Pelodiscus sinensis: one gene and its partners. The main gene of each other region encodes a partner of the protein of the gene in region 4 in a complex. Links are inferred from orthologs where the notes say so. Each region holds a gene or a part of one and is shown on either strand. Other genes may lie near its edges.

Region 1 (7,246 bases), on a different chromosome or scaffold from region 4:
CTATCCCCCAGAGCTAGTACTCCCCATTCTCCAGCCCCCCATCCTCTCTCCCTCCCAGAGCTAGTACCCCCCATTCCCCAGCCCCCCATCCTCTCTCCTCCCAGAGCTAGGACCCCCCATTCCCCAGCCCCCATCCTCTCTCCTACCAGAGCTAGTACCCCCCCATTCCCCAGCCCCCCATCCTCTCTCCTCCCAGAGCTAGTACCCCCCATTCCCCAGCCCCCATCCTCTCTCCTCCCAGAGCTAGTACCCCCCATTCCCCAGCCCCCCATCCTCTCCCTCCCAGAGCTAGTACCCCCCATTCCCCAGCCCCCCATCCTCTCTCCTCCCAGAGCTAGTACCCCCCCATTCCCCAGCCCCCCATCCTCTCTCCTCCCAGAGCTAGTACCCCCATTCCCCAGCCCCCCATCCTCTCCCTCCCAGAGCTAGTACCCCCCATTCCCCAGCCCCTCTCCTCCCAGAGCCAGTACCCCCCATTCCCCAGCCCCCCATCCTCTCCCTCCCAGAGCTAGTACCCCCCATTCCCCAGCCCCCCATCCTCTCTCCCTCCCAGAGCTAGTACCCCCCATTCCCCAGCCCCCATCCTCTCCCTCCCAGAGCTAGTACCCCCCCATTCCCAGCCCCCATCCTCTCCCTCCCAGAGCTAGTACCCCCCCATTCCCAGCCCCCATCCTCTCCCTCCCAGAGCTAGTACCCCCCCATTCCCCAGCCCCCCATCCTCTCCCTCCCAGAGCTAGTACCCCCCATTCCCCAGCCCCCCATCCTCTCCCTCCTAGAGCTAGTACCCCCCATTCCCCAGCCCCCCATCCTCTCCCTCCCAGAGCTAGTACCCCCCATTCCCCAGCCCCCATCCTCTCCCTCACAGAGCTAGTACCCCCCATTCCCCATCCTCTCCCTCCTAGAGCTAGTACCCCCCCATTCCCCAGGCCCCCATCCTCTCCCTCCCAGAGCTAGTACCCCCCATTCCCCAGCCCCCATCCTCTCCCTCCCAGAGCTAGTACCCCCCATTCCCCAGCCCCCCATCCTCTCCCTCCCAGAGCTAGTACCCCCCATTCCCCAGCCCCCCATCCTCTCCCTCCCAGAGCTAGTACCCCCCATTCTCCAGCCCCCATCCTCTCCCTCCTAGAGCTAGTACCCCCCATTCCCCAGCCCCCATCCTCTCCCTCCCAGAGCTAGTACCCCCCATTCCCCAGCCCCCCATCCTCTCCCTCCCAGAGCTAGTACCCCCCATTCCCCAGCCCCTCTCCTCCCAGAGCCAGTACCCCCCATTCCCCAGCCCCCCATCGTCTCCCTCCCAGAGCTAGTACCCCCCATTCCCCAGCCCCCCATCCTCTCTCCCTCCCAGAGCTAGTACCCCCCATTCCCCAGCCCCCATCCTCTCCCTCCCAGAGCTAGTACCCCCCCATTCACCAGCCCCCATCCTCTCCCTCCCAGAGCTAGTACCCCCCCATTCCCCAGCCCCCATCCTCTCCCTCCCAGAGCTAGTACCCCCCATTCCCCAGCCCCCCATCCTCTCTCCTCCCAGAGCTAGTACCCCCCATTCTCCAGCCCCCATCCTCTCCCTCCCAGAGCTAGTACCCCCCATTCCCCAGCCCCCATCCTCTCTCCCTCCCAGAGCTAGTACCCCCCATTCCCCAGCCCCCACCCTCTCCCTCCCAGAGCTAGTACCCCCCCATTCCCCAGCCCCCCATCCTCTCCCTCCCAGAGCTAGTACCCCCCATTCCCCAGCCCCCCATCCTCTCCCTCCTAGAGCTAGTACCCCCCATTCCCCAGCCCCCCATCCTCTCCCTCCCAGAGCTAGTACCCCCCATTCCCCAGCCCCCATCCTCTCCCTCACAGAGCTAGTACCCCCCATTCCCCATCCTCTCCCTCCTAGAGCTAGTACCCCCCCATTCCCCAGGCCCCCATCCTCTCCCTCCCAGAGCTAGTACCCCCCATTCCCCAGCCCCCATCCTCTCCCTCCCAGAGCTAGTACCCCCCATTCCCCAGCCCCCCATCCTCTCCCTCCCAGAGCTAGTACCCCCCATTCCCCAGCCCCCCATCCTCTCCCTCCCAGAGCTAGTACCCCCCATTCTCCAGCCCCCATCCTCTCCCTCCTAGAGCTAGTACCCCCCATTCCCCAGCCCCCATCCTCTCCCTCCCAGAGCTAGTACCCCCCATTCCCCAGCCCCCCATCCTCTCCCTCCCAGAGCTAGTACCCCCCATTCCCCAGCCCCTCTCCTCCCAGAGCCAGTACCCCCCATTCCCCAGCCCCCCATCGTCTCCCTCCCAGAGCTAGTACCCCCCATTCCCCAGCCCCCCATCCTCTCTCCCTCCCAGAGCTAGTACCCCCCATTCCCCAGCCCCCATCCTCTCCCTCCCAGAGCTAGTACCCCCCCATTCACCAGCCCCCATCCTCTCCCTCCCAGAGCTAGTACCCCCCCATTCCCCAGCCCCCATCCTCTCCCTCCCAGAGCTAGTACCCCCCATTCCCCAGCCCCCCATCCTCTCTCCTCCCAGAGCTAGTACCCCCCATTCTCCAGCCCCCATCCTCTCCCTCCCAGAGCTAGTACCCCCCATTCCCCAGCCCCCATCCTCTCTCCCTCCCAGAGCTAGTACCCCCCATTCCCCAGCCCCCACCCTCTCCCTCCCAGAGCTAGTACCCCCCATTCCCCAGCCCCCCATCCTCTCTGCCCCCCAGGGCCGGTGCCCCCAGGGGGTGGGACCCGAGGCTGCGCAGGGCGGGGGGGGGGAGTCGCGGCCTAGCCGGCTCCCGGGCGCGGCCTGTCGCGGCCCGGGCGGACGGGCCGGGGGGGGGGGTCGGGCCGCGCTCCCCGCCCCTCACCGCCAGCTCCTGCTTGCGCTTCACCAGCTCGGCCAGCTCGCGGCGGGTGTCGGGGATCTGGGGGGGGCCCCCGGCCTTGGTGTGCAGCGCCGCCATGATGGCTGCGGCGGGCGGGAGCGGCCGGGAGGGGGCGGGAGCCGCGTGCGCTGCCGGCCGGGTCCGCCGGGGGCAGCGCTGAGACCCGCCCGCCTCGGGACCCCCCGCGCCCGGCACCGCCCGGGGACCCCCTCACCGCCGAGCCCCCCCACCGCCCAGGGGCCCCCCGCCACTATCCCCCCCACCGCCCGAGGGACCCCCCCTCACCGCCCGAGGGACCCCCCCTCACAGCCCGGGGACCCCCTCACCGCCCGAGGGACCCCCCCCCACCGCCCGAGGGACCCCCCCTCACAGCCCGGGGACCCCCCCTCACCGCCCGAGGGACCCCCCCGCACAGCCCAAGGGACCCCCCCCACCGCCGAGCCCCCGCTCACAGCCCGGGGACCCCCTCACCGCCCGAGGGACCCCCCCCTCACCGCCCGGGGACCCCCTCACAGCCCGAGGGACCCCCCCCCTCACCGCCCGGGGACCCCCTCACCGCCGAGCCCCCCCTCACAGCCTGGGGACCCCCTCACCGCCGAGCCCCCCCTCACCGCCCAGGGGCCCCCCGCCACTATCCCCCCCACCACCCAGGGACCCCCTCACAGCCCGAGGGACCCCCCCTCACCGCCCGGGGACCCCCTCACCACCGAGCCCCCCCTCACCGCCCGGGGACCCCCAGTCACCGCCGAGCCCCCCCCTCACTGCCCAGGGGCCCCCCGCCACTATCCCCCCCACCGCCCGGGGACCCTCCCTTGCAGCCCAGGGACCCCCTCACCGCCCTCCCCATCTACCCTGCAGAGTCCCTTTTGGCATCCTATTCAGCATCCCCCACACACGCCATCCACATCATCCCTACCCTCATGTCCATCTACCCAGAGCCCCTCCACCACTAGGACACCCATTCATTCTGCACCTCATCTACCATGTACACATAGCACCCCCACTCAGAGCCACCCATCCTATCCACACTGCACACAGAGCCCTCCCCTCAGGCAGCCTCTGGTGCCCTCATCCAACCTTTTCCCAGAGAAGCACTAAGACCCCATCCTCAGTCCCCCCCAATATCCCATTCACCTCTGAACAAGCCCTTAGTTTTTATTTTGAATTGGACACCCTTCCGTATTTTCACTGTTTAATATTTTCCTAGAGGAAGCTATTGTTATTAGCCAAGTCAATACTCACTGTTCTCTGGAGTCAGGTTCATCTCCTGACCTTCCAGTAATCTTATCAGGTGTACTCCAAATAAGCTTGTTTTTAATTAGCCCTGGCTACTAACTATGCAAACTCACATGATTTTGTTTGGCAAAATGATCAGCTTTTTCTTCCTGGCAGTAAGTTTCTTGTAAAGAAAACGTACCTCCTAAGGAACATTCTTGGAGAGATCAGAATGTTCTTGAGTTTTTAAAATAAGTTTATTTAGAAGTGTGTAATGTCCTTCATTGTTCCCTTGAAACATACTGTAGCTTGTAATGGCTCTGCTCCTGCTGCATATGAAACATGAACCTTCTTCTCTGACTTCTATGCAATACCACTTGCTTTCCTGAAGATTTAGAAATACTAAAGCTACATCCATTTTTCATTTGCTCCATTTTTGCTGAAGATTCAAGTTACTGACACCAGCTAATAAAGTATGTAAAAACTTAAAAAACAACAAATAGTCTAGTAGCACTTTAAAAACAAACAAAACATGTAGATGGTATCATGAGCTTTCATGGCAAAACCCACTTCTTCAGATGACTGGAGTATAATGAGTCCAGATCCAAGGATAAATAAGAAAAGGGAAGGTGGGAGGGCAGGGGGGAGAGAAAAAGGGCAGGGGAGGAAGAAAAAGAGAGATATGAGTAGATAAAACTTAAACAACAATTATTCTAGTAGCACTTCAAAGATTAGCAAAACATGTAGATGGTGAGTAGATAGTTCAAGTAGTTACAGGAGTCAGTTAAGAACCATTAGCACCTCCGTTGGTTGGTTAAGTTATTAAAAGGTGGAAGATAGTTTGAGAGCCATCCAGGATCCCTGTTTAGACCATTAGCATAAGAATTAAACTATGTGACACACAGGAGTGCCAATAAGGCCCTGTCTGCACTGAAAAGTTGCACTGTGTTAGCTGTGTATATATTTTAGAAATACTGTATGCATCTGTCTGTGAGTCTGTTTGTTCAAGAAGTCCTAAATGGTAAGAGCTAAGGCCATCAAATTTGGTAGGCAGCTTCCTCTTTTCCTAACTTAAAGCAAGGTCAGAGTTTGGTTGTGCCAGGAAAATGAGAATTATAGAGAATAGGACTTTTCCAGAAAGGGAAGGGCTGTTTGGAGAGATGCTATACTCACGGAAGGCAGGGAGCACAGAGGATCAATAGTACAGAGAAACTGGGCAGCTGTATCACCTTGAGAGCGGCCAGTGAGAAAAGGGGTCACCATCTTGCCTACCACCCAACGGGGTAAATGGGGCCCCCATGCACAGAAGACAGTCCCTGCCAGCCCCTTTTTGCCCCAGGAAGGGAGAGGGGGAAGGGCAAGCCCCGGGAGGAGGGAGCCCCTGGCAGGCCACCTCGCCACAGGGGAGGGAGAGTCCCTGGCGACCTTCCTATATTCTGCAGACCTCAGGCCTCCTGCCCTGAAGGACTTGGGCAACACTGGGTAAGTCTTCTAATCTACTATATATTTGAGAGAGTTTGTCTGTTTGTTCAAGAAGTCCTCCTAAAAGGTAAGAGCTAGGACCACCAAATTTGGTATACAGCTTCCTCTTGTGCCAGAAAAATGGGATGTGCCTGGAATGGGATTGCTTCTCATAAAACCATACAGAAGAGAGACAATCACCAGGAAGGTGAAAGGGGCTGGATGGGGGGACTTGCACCCCTTCCACCTCCCCACCCAGCAGGTCTGCCTCAGCCCCAAGTCTTCCATCTCCCAGGTGCCCTTCAGGTAGAGTGGGTGAGGGGGCGAAGCTCTCCACCCCTACCTCTTTTATACAGGGACATTGCTGGTCATTTCCATTTGTCAGATAACCAGAGGAAAGTGCACAGTTTGCTATATTCCTCACTCTGGCTGGAGAGTACAGGGGGCAGATGAACCTGGACCTGCCCCAGGGGGAAGACCTGCACCCCTCTCCCAGCTCTATTCACTGGAGCTGCAGTGGCCATGGGGAGGTGCTTCTTACCCAGCTCCAAGCAGCTGCAGTGAGAAAGGGCTAGGATATTCCTCGCTCTCCTTGGGCCATCTGCGTACTGAACCCCTCGTCCCCAGCCCCATGCCAGAGCGATGATTTAAATGAAGCACACACATTTCAATTTTATTTTCCAAAAAAACAAAAATTAATTGAGGTAAGGACCCGGGCAACGCCAAGTAAATTGCCTAGTACTGAAGCGATAAAATCAGTACACCCCTCTAGTGTGGATGCAATTGTGATTGTAAAGATGAACAATCTTCATATAAACTTAAAAAACAACAAATAGTCCGATAGCACCTTAAAGACTAACAAAACATGTCGATGGTATCATGAGTTTTCGTGGGCAAAACCCACTTCTTCAGATGACCGGAGGACTTGTTATACTGAAGTGAATTTTGCCCACAAACGCTCATGATACCATCTACATGTTTTGTTAGTCTTTAAGGTGCTACTAGACTATTTGTTGTTTTTTAAGTTTTTCGTGTTAAAGACTAGCTCAGCTACCCCTCTGAATCTCTATATAGCTATTTCTACAGGAAGGGGAATAACTGCATCCACAGTTTGCACTAGTATAACAGTTAACATTTAAAAATAAATCACATCCCCACCCAACATAGTTACATCAGTACAACTGTCAGTAGACCGGTCAATGACTTCTTTCATAGCTTGTCCTGTTACATAGATCAATCAGGGTCATTAGAATAGTGATAGAGATGCAGCCATATTAGTCTGGTCTAGTTGAAACAAAAGACAGGACTATGTAGCACTTTAAAGACTAACGAGATGGTTTATTAGGTGATGAGCTTTTGTGGGCCAGACCCACTTCCTCAGAAGATAACCATTGGATCTAGTAATCTACAGCAGTGTTTCTCAGCCTTTTTTTTAATAAAATACCCCTTTAAAAAAATTAAGTACCCCCTTAAAAAAAAGGACTCTCAGTACCTACAGTTTTCAGACACAATTTTTTTCTACCATTCCAACACATTTTTTAAACAACTTAATCGTAGCCGGGCGGGTGATGACATTTTTCAGTGTATAAAGTACAAAAACAATAAAGGGCTGTAAAACTTAAAACAAAAAATCAAGTTTTCTCCAAATTTTAGTTGTATTGATGTACCCCCCAGACTTCTCTAAAGTACCCCTAAGGGTACTTGTACTACTGGTTGAGAAACACTGAT
Region 2 (7,650 bases), on a different chromosome or scaffold from region 4:
GCTCTGTTCACAGACAGCAGAAGCAGGAGCAGCAGGCCAGCTCTCTGCTGCAGCATCAGGGTCAGGTAAGGATTGCAGCAGGAGTGGAGAAAGACGACAAAACTGCCATTGCATTAAACAAACTCTCTTGGCCACACTCCTTTCATCCAGCCTATTATTTTGAATTATGCAGCCCATCAATTCTAATTCCTTCCTCTAGCTGCTCAATTAAAGATTCAAGACATGGGTTTCCTTCTCAAAATAAATACAACCACTAAAGAAAAAAAGTCAGAGGAACTCTCAGTGCATATAACACTCTTTAAATTAAAATTATTCAGATCATGGAGCCAGTGATTTCATTTCTCTTCACACAGTATATACCTTTAGTTATGACAAGTGAATGAACTGGTACTTGCATAAACCTTAGCTAACTGCAAAGGGAGAGGCATTCGTAAGTTTCGCTGCAAGGAATAAATCAAGGGATTATTTAATTTCTTGGAAAGCAGCAAGTGTAAACCAGGACCTGATGAAGTGTTTGTATGCTGCAATATCCCACAAACCAGCTTAAGATCACATATTAAATCAGCAACAACATCATGACAGCAACAAGCACCACCCTAGCACCACCACCACCACCACATGACAGCAACAAAACTGAACGTTTGTCCTTCCCACCTTCTTCCCCTACCTCCCCTCATTTTTAAAAGCACTGAAGGTGTTACTACCATGACAGTGATCTGAAGTCATCAGTGACTGCGAGGAGTGGCTATTCCGACTCCAGGGCTGGTCTGGGGTGGCTGCTTTTGTTGGAGACCTATTTTTGAGGGGCTGGGCGTGATTGAAAGGCAAAGTTTGTGGAGGGGGGGGGGGAGGGAGGGGAATATGAAATTCTCCACGAGCAAGTTCTGAGCGGGGACGCGTTGGAAACCAAGTGTTTCCAAGGCAGCATTTTGAAATTCGCAATATTGGGGCAGCCAAGGGGGGGGAAGGACTTGACTGGCACGTCTCAGCTATCACGGGGAGGGGGGCTGTTAGTGGGGAAAGGGAGCATCATTTTAAAAGAGACCCCTCTTCAGGCAGGCAGCCCCCCCTCGCCCCCGTTTTCCTGCACGTTAGCAGGCTGGGCGGGGAGGGCAGCATCCCCGTGGGCTGCCCCCTCACGAGGCGGTGCCTGGGTGAGAGACCTGCCCCCCCCTGCCCTGGGGGAGGGATGCTGTGGGGACAGCGCGCCCCTCCCCCGCTCAGGGTACCACTCACCTCGGCGGGGATCAGGGCTGGGAAGGGGAGGAGCCACCTCCAGGTGCGGCTGCGGCTGCTCCCCCTGCTGCTGGCTCTTCCCCCTGCTGCTGCTGCTGCGAGGCTGAGGCAGCTGCCGCCCCTGCTGCTGCGGCTGGCTCCCCCCGCCCTGCTGCGGCGGCGGCGCTTGCTGGGCTCACCTAAGCCGCCGCCATTTTGTTTCACCCTGTTGTAGTTAACGTGAATCCGACATGACACTGATTACAGCCCAATGGAGTCTCATTAAAACCTTACCTACCCTCCCCCCCCCCACCACACACACAGACTCCGCCCTCCGGCGCAAGCCCCGCCCACCGCCGCTCGGCATTGGGCCGCGCCGCGCCGCGCTCATTGGCCGCCCCCGCTGTCCATCGGCCGACCGCAGGAGCGGCGCGCCCCGCCCAGCGGCCAGCCAGGCTCCCCATTGGAGGGCGGGGCGTGCCAATCACGGGACACTCCCTCCGCCGCTATGAGGAGCCCCGCCCATCTGCCAAGGGGGAGGCCCCGTGGACAGCCATTGGCCGCTGCCGCCGCCAAACACCCGCGGGGACCCGGCTACCCCCTGGCCCAGCCTTGAACTCTAGCGATTGGCAGCAGATTACGAGTGGGGGCGAGGAATCTCGCAACGTCGCCCTCCTATTGGCTGCCGCGCCCGTCAATCCCGCCTGCTTCCCGCCCCTTCCCCCTCCCCGTCGCCGCCTGCTCCTGAAGTTTGTTCGAGAGGTGAGTGCTGGCAAGAGACACAAGCGACGGCCGCCGAGCCAATACTTCAGGGCGGGCGCGCGACACACATTAATACGCAGCCTTAAATACGGAGCTTCACGCGCGTGCCGCGGATCTTGCCACTCGTGCGGGCGGGCGAGATGGACCCTGCGTGTTCTCAGCATCACCCTCCCGAGGTGCCTGGCACTAGCAGCGGCTCAGCGCGCATGGAGGGGCCGCGGGGCGGGGGGGGGGGGGGTGACAATGACTCCCAGCTCCCACGCCACATGCCGGTCCCTACAAGTTTCCCCATGCAAAGCACCAGGACTTCCCTGTCACCCCTTCTGCGGAGGAGGCTAGGGTGGGCGCATGCAACACACAAAAAGCCAGCCAGCCCCCCTCCCCCTTGCCTTCCCTCCCCCACCCACCCCAGCCATCCCCTCCTCTGCAACATGCACGGGGACGCTGCAATGCTTTGCCGAGCACAAGTGTCTGCAAACACGTGCATCAGCCTCCAATGCAAAAAAAAAAAAAAAAAAAAAAAACGGGGGAGGGAAAAAAAGTGACAAGCCCCTTGCACAGAGAGGAGGGGAAGAGGGTTATTATGGTAAATTGCAGCCTGTCACCTAATGCAAAACAAAATCCATCGCATGCTCCCTGTTACCACCCCCCCCCCGGCCCATAAACTCCTACGAGTCTAACCTCCGGTGCAGGTTTCCCCCCTTGGCTTGCAATGACCTCCTTTCTCTGGCTGTGTGTGTTTCTGCAGCAGCGGTTCCTGCGGAATGTGCTGCCCCTGAAACGCGATCGCCGCTTCTCTCTCTCTCTCTCCTCTCTCCTGGCTGCAACCAGAGCCAGGAACACAACAACAACACAACCTCCCCCTCACACATACACAGTGAGGAAACGCAGCCAGGAAAGACAGACAAGGAAGGGGTGGGGGGGAATCCCAAGTTAACGGATTGATTGCATCAGTTACCTTTTCTAAACCCCTTTGCAAAAGAAAAAAAAAAAGAATAATATAGAGAGAATACCTTGTCTCCCCTCCTCCTCTGTAGGGCTCCTCTTCTTACACACACATACACACACACACCAAAAAAAAAGAGGGGTGGGAGTGAGATCATACATACAAAAATGGGTTGCAACCGTTCCTGTCAGGATGTGGGGAAGCAAAGGGAAAACATTAAAACAAATAATGACTATTATTAATTTTAAAAAACCACCCTAAACCTCAAGCCTTCCTGATGCTAAATGGACGCAGATTGGAGCGCTGGTGCTAAGACACAGAACCTGAGAACAGCTAATTGAAAGGTTAATCTGCATAGACTGTGACAGATGAGGTTCCCTCCCCACTTTTCTGTCTGCTGCTGGAAAGTAGGAAATAGGGCTTTTTCAAAAAAGGAGGAAAAAAATTAAGGAAGGTTGGAGGGATTGGTGGTTTCTGATCATCAGTGCCAGTCTGGTTAGGTCTGGGTTACAGACCGGGTAGGGGAGGGGTATGTTTTGGGGTGTTTTGGTTGGATTGGGAAGTGGTAGAACATAGTTATAAATATCTTACCTGATTTAAAAGTATTCTGCAGGGTTCTCAAGCTTCTGAGATGTTTTAAATGAATCATTTGAAAAATAAATATTTGGAAATTTAAAACATTGGAATGGGAAAAAAGACACACAGGGAGACTGCAGATTCCTATATCATAAAATGATTTAAATTGCTTCGTCCATAATGAGAGATCCTCCTGAACCCCTCTTTCCCCACTCTGGGCAAGTCTGTCATAATCGCCAATGGGACAGGGAAGAAATGAGCAAATGGTGAATATTTCCTCCCCTGTGATGCTTATCCGGTGAGATTACTATACAGACTTATTTTAGGGAACTAGGTGTCCTGATTCTACATGTATTGGTGTTCTAGGAAGGCTACACTTGTGTCAAGTCCCACTTCTCACCAGCTCCTTCATGCTGCCGTCCTGAGTGACGTTAGCAAGAGCCAGACATCAGGTCAAAGCTCTCATACTTTCAGATGTTTGCTCACGTATAGTGAGCAAACATCACACTTCACTATCTACTATCTGTTTGAGTTTGTCTGTTTGTTTGTTCAAGAACACCTCCTACACGGTAAGAACTAGACCCACCAAATTCAGTATGCCTCTTATCGTAACTTAAAGCAATGTCAGAGTTTGGTTGTTCCAGGAAAATGGATGTGCCTGGAATGGGATTGGCTTCTCTTAAAACCAAACCGAAAAGAGACAGGATCACTAAATCAAGTACAGTCCTCAAAACTGACGTAACTGAGCGAATGTTGAAAGAGGGCTCAGGGCGGGCAGGCAACTCTGTTCTCAGCCGGCAGAGGACTGTGCCTCCCTTCCAGCTGGGGCACCTCTGTGCTGGGGAAGCGGAGGGGCGGCTGCTCCCCATCCCCAGACACGTCTGCTCCATGCTGGAGTAGTCCTCTCTCTTCCAGGCAGCCTGCATACTCATCTCAAGCCTCACCCCAGAACAATAGTTTAAATGAAGTATGTACATGTCCATTTTATTTTCCCAAAAAATTAATTGATTTAAGGATCCGAGCAACACAGGGTAAATCTTCTAGTAGTCTAATAATAGAACATAACTTTCTCCCCAGCGCATGCTACCGAGGCATGTAAGTTTACTCCAGCATCTTTTTGAAAAGATCCTCCCTGTTGTAGATACCCAATCTGGGAGTTGATCCTGGAAACGCACACATGCTCATGGGCGGCTGATACACTAGGCAGGGGAGGGCATTGCCTTCCCAGCTGCTACCCTGGCCCCGCCCACACTCTGCCCCCAGAACGCCTGCTGGAGGCATACTGGGGTCAGAGTGTTGCTGCCCCCAGTGCCCGGCCACTCCGTGCTCTGGGGTCAGAAAGGTTGGAGCCATCTGCCCTCTCTGTGTTCCGGGCTGGGTAGGCTCAGGTCACGTGCCGCCCAGCCTCCCTGTGATGGGGGTGTGTGGCCTAGGCAAAAGGGGCTAGGTTGAGGTTTTGCCTCCTCCAACCCTACCTTTACCAGCCGCCCATGGAAATGCTTGATGTTACTCACACAAGTAGGCCCACTGACTTCCCTTTCCACACCCTGTGGATGAAATGCTGCCCACAGGTATCCTGTAATCACAGACTCTCTTAGGTTTTGTGAAGTTCAAAACTCTCTACGGGAGAGGAAAAAAGAAAAGACATCTGCCATTAGAAAGTGGATAGGAAATAATCTGTTCCAATAAATCAAGGTCTTTCCCCACTAGTAGATGCTCATGTATTGGATTGAGATCAGAAAGAGATGTAGGTTTACTACATCTATATCAGAAAGTCATTTCGGACTATGTTATAAGGCTTCTGATTTGTGATATTTTAGAGCCCTGGGATTTGGTTCGAACTAACGCGTCCCAGCACGCACTTTCACTTTCAAATCAGCTGTTGAGTAACATGCCAGCATTGCTTCATTAGCAATTTCGGTCGCCTACATTTGCATCCCTAGCTCGAACTAGGGAGCAAGTGCAGATGTACCCAAACTGTGATGGATTTATATGCCTATGACTACTATCTGCAGTACTGTTATTGCTGGTTCAAACAGATATGAGAGAGACAAGGTAGGTGAGGTAATAACTTTGATTGGAACAACTTCTGAGGGTGAAAGAGACAAACTTTTGAGTTGCACAGAGAAGAAGCGCTTGAAAACTTGTCTTTTTGACTGACAAAGTTGGTCCAATAAAAGCTATTGCCCCACCTCCTTCCCCCATCTCTTATAATTATTAACACTAATGAGTTACAATACCAAATGATGCTCGTAAGTTCTGAAAGATGTCTAGACATCTCAGGTAGAAATGTGCTATGTGATCCCCGCATGTGCCTCAGAGCCTCAAGTACTTTCCAAGATCAAAAGCACACTACTGCACCTGAATCTACAAGGGAATATTATGGTCCAATTCATCATTCCATGCCAATTTCCTTCCCTTAATTATGATAAGCCTAATACTTTTGTTTTTCAGTAGGAAAATACAGATAGACCTTCACATGTGTGCTGCTAGACACATTTGTTTGCATACATCTACATGTCTGATGGACTGTATGTCTTTAGGGTTCGTGCAGAAATCCAGACACGTTACCCACTTTGTGGATGCAAGCCAGTGTAAATAAGGATGTAGTGCCTGATTTTGAGAAGTGCTGCCACATACTTCCGTCGGAGTTGTGGATGTTTAGCACTTCTGAAAACCAAGCCTTCTGGCTGAAGTATTATCTTCACAAGGATATAGCAGTTTGAGCTCAGTGCTTAAGCAGAAGCACTACTTGTGTTCCTACCTGTCTGGGAATTATAGGTTGGGCGTTATACAAACAATAATAATACATTGGGGCTTGATTCTACAATCTATGTAGGGGCTACTCCTGAGTGTAAAGTTATTCCCATATGTAAATCTAATCCACGGTGTAATTCCATTAAGATCAGTGTAGTTACAAGAGGAGGGATTTGTAACCATCTATGTAACAGGGCTTAGGGAACCAGAGAAACAAGAGGCTGAAGTTTGAACCTTCCCTTTAAACCTCCTTATTTGTGACAAACCAATACACATCAGCTAAGGGCTAACCAATTCGCATCAGCTCAGAAATTTGAGGGCACTCTCATCTAAATACACATGCTGCTCATTTGCAAAGGGCATGTCCTTCTCTGAGGGTATTTCTCTTCCTTGGAGTCATTATTGTCCTTTATTTTTATGAATTTAGAAAAAAAAACCAGGGGTTCCATCATTTTAATAATGGGCCCTAAATTATCTCCTTTGGAAAGGTTAAGGGGTAAAATCCAGACCCCAATTAAGTAAATAGCAAAAGCCCCATTGACAAATTCAGCCACAATGTCACTCAAGAGTTATTGTGTAATGATCATTAGCTGTAGTGGCCTTGTTGGGGATAAAGATACCTGCAAAAGATCAAAATGCAGGACAATGTAGCACTTTAAAGACTAACAAGATGGTTTATTAGATGATGAGCTTTCGTGGGCCAGACCCACTTCCTCAGATCAAATAGTGGAAGAAAGTAGTCACAACCATATATACCAAAGGATACAATTAAAAAAATGAACAAATATGAAAAGATCAGTAAGCTATCTCTCTGTCCACTTTTAAGTGTCTCCATAGACATGTCAGGTACACAAATTCTGCAGCTACATCTCTTTTTCTGGCCTGCTTCGTTGCTCAAGTTCAACAGCAAAGCTGCGGCTCCCGCTGTGGTCTTGAGCTCCCACGCAGATTTCTTTCTGGCCTGGTAATAACTCATCCCTTCTTCATCTCACCTCTGTCTTCTGTAGCTCTTACATTCATTGTAACTGAACCTGAAAGAGTGGTCCATATATGTGAGCCAATCCCTTTCCAGGTGAATTTTATGTTCCTTGTCTTATGTATGAGAATACTGTACATGGTATGCTTTATTATATACACACTAGCACTATGGAACCCTGATCCCTGCCTTTAGGTTTCACCTCATACAATTAATAAATAGTAACAAATATATATAGTAAAATATTTATGACCATATATTCTGGGCCTGTGCTGTACTCACTCGTTCAGCGATTAGTCTTAAATAACAAAATGGTAGTATAAAATAATCACCTGCTGATGCCTCATTTAGTTCTTGTATTTTCTTTCTAAATCCCTTAAATGAAGGGTTTACAGCAGAAATGCTGACACAACGTTAG
Region 3 (7,514 bases), on a different chromosome or scaffold from region 4:
CTGTAATCATCATGGTTATGCATGTTGCATACAGAGCTCTGCTGCCATAACAACAAGATGCAACTATAACCACAATAAAATCCTGGCCATGTTAAATATGAAAAATTAATGTCTGATTGGTTATGAAATGCCCTTTGTTCTCCAGTCTACCACTTGTCTCTTGGGAGCAACAAGCAAATATAATACAGCCACTCCCCGACTTACAAACACACCGACTTACGACCAACATCCCATTAACCATATTATAATATTTTTGAGTTGAGAACCAAGTACGTCAAATTTTTCGAATAGCTCAGGCAGCATGTTTAAAGATATTTTCAACTTATTACCAAATCGAGTTACAAACGGGTTACAACCAGGTGTTCGGAATGTAAGTCGGGAAATGCCTGTATCAGGATCACAAAGCAATTTCCTAAGTAGTTTTAAAAATGCTGTTTAGCTTCACTGGCTATTAGCTTCTGCAAAGCAACTTAAAACAAGTCTTGTCACAGCATGATTGTCTATCCCATTTAGCCAATAGTTTGCTATCAGCACTGGTACTTCTACAGACCTATGTAATTTGACAAGATTTGCACATTTGCAAGAATTTAACTTAACATTCTACAAAAATCTTAAGTGTGCATCTTACAACTATGACTTAATAGAATTTCAGTCAGCTGTTACAGAACTTTTTAGCCAGACTCATCTCAAAACACATTACAAACTATAACTGATGTACAAGCTGTACAGAGAAATCCATCACCCACCAGTGAAATACAGCTACCACTGGGTGGGAAGTGGTAGTATTGATTAATGTGCAGAAACACTATTCAACAGTTTAGCAACGGCTTCTTTATCAGTTTGAATCTGAAAAAGGATTTGAGCAAGGTAGAATAACACTGCTCACATTAGACCAAAACACTAGTTCACACTTTAGCAAAAGTGAAAAGTACAATTCTTAAATTTCTAAAAATGATGATCAAAACGTTCTTTTAGACTCCATAATCCATCTTCAAATACATCAAATCTCAATATTACAAAAGGGCATCCAGCTAAGGCCAGATGAGTACCCAGGAGTCATGAGTACTCAGGAAAGACCCAACAAGGAAAACAACAGAACACCACTGGTTGTCACCAATAGCCCCCACTAAAACCCCTCAAACACATCATTGATCATTTACAACCTATCCTTAAAAAACAAAACAACAACAACAAAAAAACATTCCTCACTCTCACAGACCTTGGGAGACAGGCCTGACCTCACCTACAGACAGCCCCCCCCCCCCAACCTGAAACAAATACTCACCAGCAGCCACACACCACAGAAACACTTACCCAAGAACCTATCCCTGCAACAAACCCCATTGCCAACTTTGCCCACATATCTATACAAGCGACACCATCACAGGACTTAACCACATCATCAGGAGCTCATCCATCGGCACATCCACTTATGGGATCAATGCCATCATGTGCTAGCAATGCCCCTCTGCTGTGTATATTGACCAAACCGGACAGGCTCTGTGCCAAAGAATAAATGAACACAAAACAAATATCAAAAGTTAACATATATAAACCTCTAGTAGGAGAACACTTCAACCTCCCTGGACAGTCAGTAATGAGTTTTAAAGTAGCCATCCTTCTAAAAAAAGCTTCCAAATGAGATTACAAAGAGAAACAGCAGAACTGCTATTCATTTGCAAATTCAAAACAGTCAAATTAGGACTGAATAAGGATTTAAATTGCCTTTGTAATATGTAGTGAGGTAACCAATTTTCCTTCTTGGTAATTCACACCTCCTCCTCAGCTTCTATGCGTGAACCACATCCACCCTGACATAATTGGCCTCATTAACACTATTCCTACACTTGATAAGTAACTTCCTTCATACATATATCTCTATCCCTACCTCTGTTATTTCCACTCCAATTCATCTGATGAAGTGGGTTTTACTAACAAAAGCTTATGCTCAGATAAATCTGTTAGTCTAAGGTGCCACGGAATGCCACACTATTTTTAAGATTGTAAAACCCTCCAAACATCAGCCATCATGATTCATTTGGGGTGGAAGAGGTCACAGAACACTAGAACTGGAAGGGACCTCGAGAGATCTTCAAGTCCAGTCCCCTGCCCTCACAGCAGGATCCAGTACCATCTAGACCATCCCTGATAGGTGTCTTTCTAACCTGCTCTTCAATATCTCCAGAGATGAAGATTCCACAACCTCACAAGGCAACTCATTCAAGTGTTTAACTACCCTGACAGTTAGGAAGTTTTTCCTAATGTCCAACCTAAATCTTCCTCCCTTGCTGCAGTTTAAGCCAATTGCTTCTTGTCCTATCCTCAGAGGCCAAGGAGAACAATTTTTCCTCCCTGCTCCTTGTGACAGATACCTGAAAATTGCTATCATGTCCCCTCTTAGTCTTCTCCATTCCAAACTAAAGAAGCCCAATTCTTTCAGTCTTCCTTTATAGCTCATGTTCTCTAGACCTTTAATCATTCTTGTTGCTCTTCTTTAGACCTTCTCTAATTTCTCCACATCTTTCTTGAAATGTGTTACCCAGAACTGGACACAATACTCCAATTGAGGCCTAATCAGCGCAAAGTATAGCAGAAACAACCTTAAATTTTGTAAGGTTTAGGATTTGAAGTAGATAGGTAACTCATCAGCACTAGAACAGGGAAAGCATTTAGGTCTTGTCTATGCTAGAAAGTATTTTCTATTACAGTTATACCAGCATGACCTGCAGTGGAGGTGTAATGCACATAGCTCATACCATAGGTTCCCCCAAAAATGAGCTAAACAAGTAATATGACCTTTTTTACCCTTACATAACTGTCTACAGTAAGGCTTTGGCTTTATTGACATCTCATAACACTGTGGGAGGTTTTTTAAAAGAACTTTGAGTTCTTTGTACCCCTATATGATGCTAATGAAATCTCACCTCCAGATCAGCTACCAGAAGTGGGCCTCATCCTCCTTGATTGGATCCACCTCATCATCTCCAGCCTGATTCTGGCCTGCATATTTATATCTGCCTCTGGAAATTTACACTACATGCATCTGACGAAGTGGGTCTTTGCCCACGAAAGCTTATGCTCCAACACTTCAGTTAGTCTATAAGGTGCCACAGGACTCCTCGCCTCATGTGCAACAGTGTTATCAAGTATTATTACAGGGATAATCAGCTAAAAAGACATTGCAAGTTTTATCTGTTTTCCCATACCTATTAGAAATCTGTTGAACTGAGTGGGAAATGAAGAAATTACAATTTTTTAAAAATCTAACTCCTCCTCTCCCCCTATTTCTTTTACTCTCGTTATTCATGGCAGGCACTCATTCACTGCTTCTCAGGTTTGCAACATAATAAAGTAATAAATGAATAATTGTTCATATCGATTTTACTTACTCCATTAGGCATATTATAAAAATTAATAGGTTATACCTAAAATCCATAGAGGATGTTTATTACCCTCATTTGAAAGATGGGGAAACAGAGAGGTAGAATGCTCAAGGGACTGTCTCACAGAATCTCAAGGGCAGAGTAAGGAACAGCAGTGTGTGAAAGTAATCGCGGAGAGAGCAGGATTCTGTTCATTTGTTGAAGTGTAGGAGCATAAGCTTTTGTGGGCAAAGAAAGCTTATGCTCCTACACTTCAGTTAGTCTATAAGGTGCCACAGGACTCCTCGTCGCTTTTGCACATTCAGACTAACACGGCTACCCCTGTGATACTTGTTCATTTGTTGTTTCACAATTAAATTAATGGAGATTGCCTATCTCCTAGAACTGGAAGGGACCTTGCAAGGTCATTGAGTCCAGCTCCCTTCCTTCACAGCAGGACCAAGTACCATCCCTGACAAACTTTTGCCTCAAATCCCTAAGTGGCCTCCGCAAGGATTGAACTCACAGCCCTGGGTTTAGCAGGCCAAAGCTCAAGCCAGGAACTATCCCTGCCCCACAATGGTACCCTAAACCGTCGTGACGGGTCCCATTCTCCCCAGCGACTTCCCCGCCCCTGCCCGGGCGGAGCCTAGGGAGCGCGGAGCCGGGAGCGGTGTATTGGGGCAGTGGGTGCTGCTGTGGGGCGCTCAGGGCCCCCCGCCCCCAGCGAGGCGCACGCACAAACCACCCCCCCACGCCACGCTCGCCAGGCGCCTGCCCCGGGCCGGCCTGCAGCAGCCAGGGAGGAATCCCCACGGGCCGGCTCGAGAGCGGTACCCGAGCCCCGCCTGCCCGATACTCACCAGCCAGGGGCTCTACTGACAGCATCCAAGATGGCGGGCCCCGGCCTCAGAGGCCGGCCCCGACCCATCCCAGCCCTCAGGCCTCCTAGGGAAACGGCGCCTCCGCCTCCCCCGGGCCCTTCCCACGCTTTGACGCTACGGAGGTGTCCCCCTCCCCACCTCCTTCGCGCCCTGAACCAAGATGGCGGGCCGGCCCCCCGGGCAATGCCAGCGCCCACATCCAAGATGGCCGCCGCCAGCTTCGTCGCCCACCGCGCCTGGCTCCCTACCTGTCCGAATCCAAGATGGCGGCGGCCGCTGGCGTGAGGCGCGATCCGAGTCACGTGACGAGGGGGGGGTGTGGAGCGTGTCCCGGCGGAAGCGTGAGGGACCAAGCTGGGAACGGGCTCTGCTGGCGGCGCAGGAGCGGCCTGGCGCGCGGCGACCGTCAGCGGGGTAGAGCGAGAGACACGGCTGTCACCACGGAGCCCAGCGGTGCGAACGCGGCGGCCACCGCCGCGTCCCGGGCCGGGGGCACTGGAGACCAAGCGCCTTCGCTGCCCCCGCCCCCACCGCGGATGCCGCGCAGGAAGGTGAGTGCCGGGCGGGGCAGGGGGGTAGGTCTGCTTTGTCCTTGTCTCCCTCCCCTCCCCCAACAGGCCCCCACAGCCGTGAAAACCGAGTGAAAATAGCGGCCTTCTGCCCCCTGCTCCCGCCCATCTTGCTACCTGAATGGTTCCCCAGTAGGGACTGCTGAGCACCGATTGGTTACGGCGGCTATCACTCATCGCCTCAACGGTTGCCTTCTCCCCCTCCCCCTCATCTGGGGCATGGTCAACCTTCTTGACTTTCTGATTGGACACCGATTTGGAGCTCTGGTCGTTGATTGGCTGAGCCTTGCGGTACTGCTGGGCGGTGATTGGACATGCTGTCTGCCCGTCTCCGCCCCCTGCGGTCGCCTCCCCACGCGTGCCTTGTTTCCCCAGTTCGCTCTCCCTTCCCTCCCATTCAGGCTGCCCTCCCTGAGTGGCTGTTTCTGGTGCCGCCAGGGGCACGCTGATAGGCCGGCGTCTCCCATCAGTCACGCCCTGGGGCCGGGCCTCTTTTCTCACGGACGTTTCTATTGGAGAAGCTTCCGGTCCGCCCCGCCTCTCTTCGGCCGCGATTGGTTGGACCAGGCGGGGGCGCGCGCCGGAGCGAGCGGTAGTAACGCGGCGGGTGCAAAACAGAACGGGCCGCCGGGTGCGGAGGGGCGCGTCGCTGCTTTGCTGGGGGCGGGGCGCGCGCCCGATTTCTCACCGCCCCCCCCCAGCCGGGATTGTCCCGTCAGCGCCCCCCTTTGCCTCCCTCCCCCCCCCGGTCCCTGGTGTCCAAACGGTGCTGGAGCAGCAGCTGCTGAATCTCACTAGCCAGGCTCCACTGGCCAAATCGCCACATGTAGCTAGTGGCTGGAGCACCCCGACCCTGGACCGCCTCGCCCTCCCCACGCGGGACCGCCTCGCCCTCCCCCCGCCCTCCCCACGCGGGACCGCCTCGCCCTCCCCCCGCCGCCCCACGCGGGACTGCCTTGCTCTTCCCCCAGACTCTTCTCTCTAGTGTCCCGTTGTGTTGGGCTGCATTAACCCTCCCACGCCCCCCCCCCCCCATGCCTCAGCTCTCCCGCTACATGTCTCTCTGCCATCTTCCTTCAGGCTGCCTTATTTCTCCTCAAATATTTCCTGATAACGCCACACCACACAACACACACACTGTGGGCTGCTTTAGTGTTCCTGCTATACCACTTGCCTCGGACTGTGTTAGTTCACCCCTCTCCCTAATGCCCCTCTAGATCACACAACTATGGACTGCCAAACTCGCCCTTGATGGATTTCCTCAGGTGTCCCTTATCCCCTCAAATTCCCCTGGGCTCCCTCACCTTCCTCCTCTCCAAACTCGCTGGCTACGTCTAGACTGGCATGATTTTCTGCAAATGCTTTTAACGGAAAAGTTTTTTGCAGAAAAGCAACCATGCCAATCTAGACGGTTTTGTGCAAGAAAGCCCCGATCACCATTTTTGTGATCAGGGCTCTTTTGCTCAAAACAATACTGCGTTGTCTACACTGGCCCTCTTGCGCAAAAGCATTTGCGCAAGAGGGCTTTTGCCCGAATGGGAGCAACATAGTATTTCCGCAAGAACACTGACAATCTTACATGAGATCGTCAGTGTTCTTGCACAAATTCAAGCAGCCAGTGTAGTCAGCTGGCAAGTTAGCTGCTTTTGCGGAAAAACTTGCCAGTCTAGACGCAGCTGCTGTGTATAGGAGCATCTAGAAGATTCAGGATGATGCACTTGTATTTGTGAACCTGCCATCGCATGAAATCCTGCAGATTCAATCAATCCAACTCTGGAACACAAACCCTGCCCCAGTGGGATAAGGGAATGGTCATTTGATCATGGCATGTGTAGACCTGGGCTCCTGTCTTCCCTGCTGCTAACTCTGCTAGTGCTTGCACATCACTAGTATGCATTGGGTCTTGGCTCTGCTTTTTCACTTTCTTTCAAGAGCATCCTTTCAGAGGTAAAAGGGAAGCTCTGCTACGTATGTGTAGTGGTTTAGTGAGCACTCTGGAATGAGAGTAGTCTGTGTGGTACCTTTTGTGTTAAATTAGCAAGTGTCGGAATTGCTTGAAACTTCAGGTATGATCTTCATAAATGAAATTGGTGCTATCTGTAGATTTTCTAGATTTTGACCAGTTTGCAAAAATTCTGAATTGTGGATGGTGCTGTCTGATATCTCATGTTTATTGTATTAAAGCAAGTTCCAAAGCAAACTACCTGAGTGTCATTAGTTTTTTGGGGGTGGGAGAGGAGGGAGTATTGAATATTTAGTATTATAAGAATGGAAGTGCTCCTGTGCTAATGTTTGGGTCTGTGGTGTTACAGAGGAATGCAGGCAGTAGTTCAGATGGAACCGAAGACTCCGATTTCTCTACAGATCCTGAGCACACGGACAGCTCTGAAAGCGATGGCACATCTCGACGATCCGCCCGCGTGACCCGTTCCTCAGCCAGGCTCAGTCAGAGCTCTCAGGGTAAATACCTTTCTTCCTAGCCTCACCAGACACAACTGGCTGGCCAGTCACAATATCCTTGGCTTGTTAATACTTAAAGGAATTTTAGTGAATCTATACCTTTAGTTTAGTTAATCTCATTCATTATTTTCTCTCATTGAACACAAATGTGCCAGGGAAAGAAACAAAGGCATTGCAAGGATGCATTGCATAAAATAGGTTGTTCAGTCTAATGATTAAAGAGGGGGTTGGAAGTATTT
Region 4 (6,991 bases):
GCTATAGTAGGTCCAGGTAAAGAGAATGGCAATTCAGTTTATGGGGACTAAATTTAGGGTTAATCTAAAAAAATTCAAGGACAAGGAAAATAAAATGTCCCCTCTAAATGTCAATAAAATGTATATTTCTTTGTTTTCTTATAAGGTAGTAAAGCCATTTATAAATGCATTAGTGCATGAGAACCTGACACTGAAATTGACAAGTTTAGTTTCGTCTTATCGGATAATGATGATAAATAGCACAATAAATGAATAGATTTTTTTAAATCAATTGCAATAATCTATCATATAACTACTTGGTGTTAATGTTATTCTAACCTAAAGATAATTTTTATATACACCCATTTATATTTACATACCCCATCACCACACCTACAAACAACAATGACATTGATCAATGAGGTTACTGTCTATTTCCTCAAATTGGAGAAGAGGGGCAGTGGCTATTATGACTGAATATAAATTTTACCAGCTCAACCGTGCCACAACCATTTTTCTACATATTTAGTCAATGAAAAGCCAGGGAGGCTACGTCTACACTGGCTCCTTTTCCGGAAGGGGCATGTTAATTTCAGCTATCGTAATAGGGAAATCCGCGGGGGATTTAAATATCCCCCGCAGCATTTAAATAAAAATGTCCGCCGCTTTTTTCCGGCTTTTAGAAAAGCCGGAAAAGAGGGTCTACACTGGCCCCGATCCTCCGGAAAAAGCGCTCTTTTCCGGAGGCTCTTATTCCTACTTTGAATAAGATCCTCCGGAAAAGGGCGCTTTTTCCGGAGGATCGGGGCCAGTGTAGATGCTCTTTTCCGGCTTTTCTAAAAGCCGGAAAAAAGCGGCGGACATTTTTATTTAAATGCCGAGGGGGGTATTTAAATCCCCCGCGGATTTCCCTATTACGATAGCTGAAATTAACATGCCCCTTCCGGAAAAGGGGCCAGTGTAGACGTAGCCGGATAGTACTAAAGGATAGCAAGCCATGCAATGGCGTGGGGCCAACCCCACAGTTGGCTTTTTGAAGCTAAGTTGCTTAGGCTTTGTCTTCAGCTTCAATTGTGGGCAGCAGGATTCGAATTCCAGCTTTCTTTCCTTGGTCCCAGCAATATAATGTTGTTCCCGCTCTATTGCTTATTTTGGCAGAATCTGCTTTCAGCCCCTAAGAGAGCCCCAGATTCCTGGTGGAGAACCCCTGCTACAGAAGACACTACCATATAACATAAGTTTTCAGGAGAAACTGTTTGCTTTTTTGCAAGCATAGTGACAACCATGGAACATGTATCTCATAACGCCAGCAGCTTTCCTCCCAGACTTAGTGCAAATGTCACAAATTCTAAATAAGGGAAGACATCTGCCACAAAGTGATGAAAAAGCACTTCCCAATAATGAGATTCGAACAGTTATCATGTACGTTCTCAAGCACCTTCTCTTACATTTAGATTAAATTTTGGCCCAATCTGGAAACAAATGACAATTTAGCATTTAACCTCTTAAAAGAAAACAAGAATGCAGGAGGGGAGAGCACGCTACATGTGGAAGTAGTTTTAACAATATCTATCCTAATTTTGTATAGTTGTAGTTTGGGTGACTAAAAATGCCTTGAGACCCTAAAGTACAATAAGGATTGCTAAATTTACCATAAAACAGAAAGAATTCATAAAGTGTTACACAGCTCAGGTTTGGGGTACTTCTTTCCTCCTGTAAAAGCAGCACAAAGGCTAAAGAAGATGGAAACAGAACTTTTTTTTTTTGAATGACAATTTGCTGAGGTAGCTTTCATGACAAAAATGTGAAGATGCAGCTATTTACGTGAAATGCAATTTATGTAGATGAAGCACTGCATGGTAAGGGGACAGGTGAGGGGAGAGCAGGTTAAACCTACAGCGCAGCACTCTAATAGACCTTTGTAAAGGCTGCCAATTCCTTCTGCAAACATGCAGTGTTGGGTCCTTTGCTACCTTGCTTTATTCGTGGCTCTCAACATGCATCATCTGTGGACCATGGCAAAGAGATGGAGAAAAAACTACCAAGGATGCTGCAAACAGTCCATTACCACCAGCCATATTCATTCGCAGAGAAGCCAGTGGCTGACCCCTGAAGAAATTATTTCATTCCATAAGTGAAAATACCCGTGATAGGCCTGGGCTGGACCAGGCAAACCCTCCTGACATCATCAACCCCAACATCTCCGGAGACAACCGGCACCATTCCCCAAACTAGCTCCTCCTCTCCCCTGAGCTCGGCCCGAACGGCTTCCTCCCCAAGCTCCCCCCACGCACAAGCAGTGGACGGTTCCTCCCCACGCCCCTTATCCCTCCCACACCCTGTTCCAGCACGAACACTTCCTGCCCACGCCCGTCACCGCGCTACCCACACGCACGCCCCTCGCGCGAATGGTTCCTGCCCGCGCCTGTCACCCCCGCGCGAATGGTTCCTGCCCAGGCCCGTCAGCTCCAACCCTTCCCGAGCCTCGCCCCACCCCCACCCCACAATACTGTCGGCCCACAAACATGGCGTCCAACAAAACAGCTTGCGCTGCGCCCTCCCCCGCCCGCTGTGCCGGGCCGCCTCCGCCCGCTCCCGCCACCAAGCCGCGCTCGCTAGGCCCGGCTCTGGCCGCGAGCCGCCGGCCCCTCTGCGCCGCCCGGCCGCACTCACGTCGTGGGAGCCGCTGGAGCGCGGCTGACAGACCCTCCTCCTCCTCCTCGTTCCGGGTCGACACGGCGGCCGGTCTAATGGCGGGGGTGGCCCCACCGATGCCGCTGCCTGGTGCCGTTCCCAGCAGCCCCGGGCGGCCCAGCGGGCGCTGGCGGTGCCGTGCTGCCTTCGGGCTGCCGGCGGCGGGTGCGGGGCTCCTGCTCGAGGCGCGCGCGGCGCATTCGGGAGGCGCGGAGCTGGTCGCAGTCCGGCTGCGGGCTCGGCTCCGTCCTAGGGCTGAGAACCGCCCCTCCCCCCTCGGCACAAACAATGCGGCTTCACCACAGCGCAGCGCCGGCGGGGGGACGGAACGTGGGAGCGCCAGTCCCAGGCACCGCCCCGCCGCCGTGGGGGAGGGGCCTTTCCGCTCTCCCTCTGCCCTGTGTTGCAGTGGGCGGCGCTGCCTGACACGGGCGGGCAGGCCATGGCCGATCTCCATGGCGCCCCAGCCGTCGGCCACCTCCCCGAAAGTACGATGGGCTTAAAAAGAAACGGAGGAGGCTAAGCACCGCGTCTGCTTTAGTTTGGCTTCTCCTCTGTGCCTGTAGGTGTGAAAAATACAAGTAGAAAAGTCACCCTTTAATACACACAAAATGCCCACCTCTGCCTGGCTGCTGGGGGAGCCTCAACTTCCCCTCTGGTCTCTACGTAGAGCCAAACTCCGCATTTCCTATTCCTGCCTCGACCCTGCAGCTACATTTTTCTGTCAGCAGCTGGGCTGGGACTTTTGCACCTGGACTCTAACAGCAATAATGTGACCCCCCATTGCCTCCTACCAGTATTCCCTCAGCTCTAAGACCATATAGACATGGCAAAGCAGGTCTGTGGCCCTAGTTCCAAGACTGTCCCACATAACTCTGCCCACATGTCCAGCCCTGAAAGTTGAGGAATAGGCAAAGAAGCATATTTTGTATCATCAGAACAGCTCCTCTTGTACTTTTTCCTCTAGCTGCTTCAGACTCCCCCACCACTAACCTCCAGGCAGGTAAACTGCTATTCCATCCATCTCCTCCCCCCACAAAACCTGGCAGCATTACAAACCCTAAAAGTGCCTCTTGCTCCCCCTTACTCTCCACATCTGATTTACAGTGTTTTTGCTGCTCCTCACAGTTCCTATCTCCTCTCTAGCCCTCAGGTCCCTAGTAGCATAGCAGTTTTTTTTGCCTGTGGGCCTGGCTTCAGTATGACTGAAAACAGTATGAGTTGACAACCAATTTTATGAAGTCTCGGAGGGGTAGCCATGTTTGTGTGTAACAAAAAAGGAAGTGGTCCTGCAGCATCTTAGGGATTCGGGTTTTTTAACTTTATGAAGAGAAGCGTCACCTCATGCAGATGGAATTGAGAGAAATAGCCCGTAATTGACAGTAATAGGGAATGGTAGCGGCAGTTTTGAATAAGAAAAATTGTGAGCTGGCTTTTTTCATCATGTTGTCATAACACAGACAAAATAACATCACAGAATTACTAGGGTTGTGATAAAAAATCAAGTGTGTTGGCAACACTGACACAGGCTTTGCCTGCGTTAGCGATCACTGCACAGAACTAGCAATAGCTCTCTCCAGCTCCAGAGTAAGACGGACCCATAGGCTTTTCTCAACCATAAAGTTATTCCTGGGGAAACAGAGGCATTAAGTACCTCAATATCACATTAAAAATTATGCACGTAGAAAAAAGACATTATATAAAAGAGTGGGTAAAATATACTTAGGCCTAGTTTATATAAGAGCAATTAGGTAGTTTGGCTGCTGGTTGCTGTTACAACTGTAATACATGTTAAATACACACAAAAGTGCTCCCATTTTGGCTGGGACAGTCCCCTTTTTTTAAGTCCTGTCCTAGCCACCCCATCTTTTTTGGTAAAAGTGGGCATTTCCCCTGTTTTCTCTTAGGCTGCGTCTAGACTGGCATGATTTTGCGCAAATACTTTTAACGGAAAAGTTTTTCCGTTAAAATTATTTGCACAAGAGAGCGTCTATACTGGCATGTGCCTTTGCACAAAAGATTTGCTTTTGCACAAAAGCATCCGTGCCAGTGTAGACGCTCTCTTGCGCAAGAAAGCTCCAATGGCCATTTTAGCCATCGGGCTTTCTTGTGCAAGAAATTAACGTTGCTGTCTACACTGGCCCTCTTGCGCAAGAGGACTTATCCATGAGTGGAAGTGTCAGAGTACTTGCGCAAGAACCACTGATTTTGTACATTACAAAGTCAGTGTTCTTGCGCAAATACTCACGGCCAGTGTAGACAGGCAGACGCTTTTGCGCAAAATCATGCCAGTCTAGACGCAGCCTTACTGACTTGATTAGCTGGCAAGAGCAAATAAGACAAAACCAACTTTTGTCAAAAAAAAGTGGGGGGGGAAGCAGTATGGAGGAACAGGAGGATGGGTGAGTGGAGATGCCAGCCCCAACCAGAGGGGGAGCAGCATGAAGAGGGCCAGCAGTGTTCCAGCATCTGGGCAGTAGCCTATGCAGGATAGGTAGGGCTTGGGTGAGAGGCTGAGAATGTCCTTTTTCCCTTTGGGAAATATGGTCACACTACATTCAGCTGTCACAAGAGCATTTTGTTATCCTTTTATAGTCCCCCTGTAATAGAGAAGGACAGAATTTTACAGACAATAGTTAAATTCACCACACACTATCATGTACACTAAATGTGCTATGGTTCTGTGGACTATTAGTTGTAACAATAATTACACAATTACTTGTAATTAAATATTGAATCATATTGTTTTCAAATACTGAATTAAGCTTTCAGGGCAATCTTGGTTGTGATATTTTCTGAAATTGCTAATTGAATGTTCCTTTAATATAATGTCCGGGAAAACAGAAATTCCTTCATGTCAAATCTTATCGGCCCCTTTTTTCTGGGCAAACTTACCATCCTGGTCCAGCAACCAAACAATTAATGCAGGTACTACCTGCCAATGCTAATTGGCAGTCCCAGAGCAGCTGGGAAAATAAAAGACTTGGTAAACAGCAGGGTAAAGTGGCTACCAGTGGAGTATGGTAGATGGAGAAAGCAACTCCTGAGCAACTTACTAACAGAGACAGTACCATAAGAAGGAATAAGCAAATTAATGGTGTGAAGTCTACAGAAAACCAGGGAAGGCAGCAAGGAGGTCAGAGAGTTGCCTACCTCTGAGTCTATGTTCAGGATAGGATGGTCTGTTACTGTGGAATGTTCTTTTGTTCAGTCACACATCTGAGCAGAGTATCTCCAAGTGTTATCTATTGACCCATTGGATGCTTTTAAAGAGCAGTGGGTGCTGTCAGGGGATGGGGTTCACCTTTTGAGGAAGGGGAAGAGAGTATTTGGATACAGAGTGGCTAACCTACTGTGGAGGACTTTAAACTAGGCTCAATGGGGGCAGGAGACCAAAGGCCACAGGTGAGTGAAAAACATGGAGACTTGGGAGATGAGTCAGAAATGGGAGGGAGCATGGGCTATATAATAGCAGAGATAAAGGAGGGACAAAGCAGAAATGGAGGGCAAAAACAAACCAGTACCTCAGATGCCTGTATACAAAAGCAAGAAGTATAGGAAATAAGCAGGGAGAATGTGAAGTGCTAGTAAATAAACACATCTATGAGATAGTTGGGAACAGAGACTTGGTGGGATAACATGATTGGAATATTGGTATAAAAAGGTACAGCTTGCTCAGGAAGGATAGGCAAGGAAAAAAGGGAGGAGGTGTTGCCTTATAGTTAAAAATGTATACACTTGAGGTTGAGACGGACACACATGACAGATTTGTTGAGTCTCTGGGTTAAGCTAAGAGGGGTAAAAAATAAGGATGTCGTGCTGGGGTCTACTACAGACCATCTACCTAGGCAGAAGTGGATAAGGCTTTTTTTTTAAACAACTAACAAAATCATGCAAAGCACAGGATTTGGTGGTGATGGGGGACCTGAACTGTCCAGACATCTGTTGGGGAAACTAATACAGCAGGGTATGATTATCCAACAAGTCCTTGGAATGCATTGGAGATGGTGGTTTGGTTGGTTGGTTGGTTTTTGTTTTTTTTCCAGAAGGCTGAGAAAGCTATTGGAGGGAAGCTGTTCTCGATTTGATTTGAACAAATAGGGAGGAACCAGTTGAAAATGTTAAAATGGAAGGCAGCATGGGTGAAAATGATTATGAAATCAGAGTTCATGATTCTAAGGAATAGTAGACGGAAGAACAGCAAAACAGAGACAATGGATTTCAGGAAAGCAGATTTTAGTAAGCTCAGAGAGCTAGTAGGTAAGATTCCATCAGAAGCAAGACTATGAGGAAAAACAATTGGAGAGAGTTGGCAGTT

The links.
Region 1: BRD1 (region 4) and MEAF6 share a complex: the UniProt entries of both Homo sapiens proteins name them as parts of the MOZ/MORF complex. The link is inferred for Pelodiscus sinensis from reciprocal best matches to the Homo sapiens genes BRD1 and MEAF6.
Region 2: BRD1 (region 4) and KAT6B share a complex: the UniProt entries of both Homo sapiens proteins name them as parts of the MOZ/MORF complex. The link is inferred for Pelodiscus sinensis from reciprocal best matches to the Homo sapiens genes BRD1 and KAT6B.
Region 3: the proteins of BRD1 (region 4) and KAT7 are in contact, whole or in part, in a crystal structure (PDB 5GK9), measured with the Homo sapiens proteins. The link is inferred for Pelodiscus sinensis from reciprocal best matches to the Homo sapiens genes BRD1 and KAT7. Residues at the interface, in XP_047297239.1 of Homo sapiens: Val40, Ile42, Glu43, Ile44, His49, Arg50, Ile51, Ser52, Ile53, Phe54, Asp55, Pro56, Leu57, Glu58, Ile59, Ile60, Leu61; in NP_008998.1 of Homo sapiens: Leu531, Phe534, Gly536, Lys537, Glu538, Ile539, Ser540, Ile541, Lys542, Pro552, Val553, Val556, Gln560, Leu565, Tyr567, Lys571, His572, Leu573, Val574, Leu575, Lys576.

Annotation. Positions count from the first base shown.
Region 1 is NC_134735.1:9,831,202-9,838,447, forward strand, and holds the start of MEAF6 (chromatin modification-related protein MEAF6), read right to left. Parts: upstream 3,021-7,246; 5' UTR 2,921-3,020; coding exon 2,825-2,920; intron 1-2,824.
Region 2 is NC_134718.1:7,809,134-7,816,783, reverse strand, and holds the start of KAT6B (histone acetyltransferase KAT6B), read right to left. Parts: upstream 3,015-7,650; 5' UTR 2,991-3,014; intron 2,798-2,990; exon of another isoform or gene 2,659-2,797; intron 1,978-2,658; exon of another isoform or gene 1,623-1,977; intron 1,531-1,622; exon of another isoform or gene 1,237-1,530; intron 1-1,236. UniProt on the Homo sapiens protein: Histone acetyltransferase which may be involved in both positive and negative regulation of transcription. Required for RUNX2-dependent transcriptional activation. May be involved in cerebral cortex development.
Region 3 is NC_134739.1:15,008,696-15,016,209, forward strand, and holds the start of KAT7 (histone acetyltransferase KAT7), read left to right. Parts: upstream 1-4,495; 5' UTR 4,496-4,509; coding exon 4,510-4,797; intron 4,798-7,127; coding exon 7,128-7,275; intron 7,276-7,514. UniProt on the Homo sapiens protein: Catalytic subunit of histone acetyltransferase HBO1 complexes, which specifically mediate acetylation of histone H3 at 'Lys-14' (H3K14ac), thereby regulating various processes, such as gene transcription, protein ubiquitination, immune regulation, stem cell pluripotent and self-renewal maintenance and embryonic development.
Region 4 is NC_134711.1:34,679,482-34,686,472, forward strand, and holds the start of BRD1 (bromodomain-containing protein 1), read right to left. Parts: upstream 3,013-6,991; 5' UTR 2,653-3,012; intron 1-2,652. UniProt on the Homo sapiens protein: Scaffold subunit of various histone acetyltransferase (HAT) complexes, such as the MOZ/MORF and HBO1 complexes, that acts as a regulator of hematopoiesis.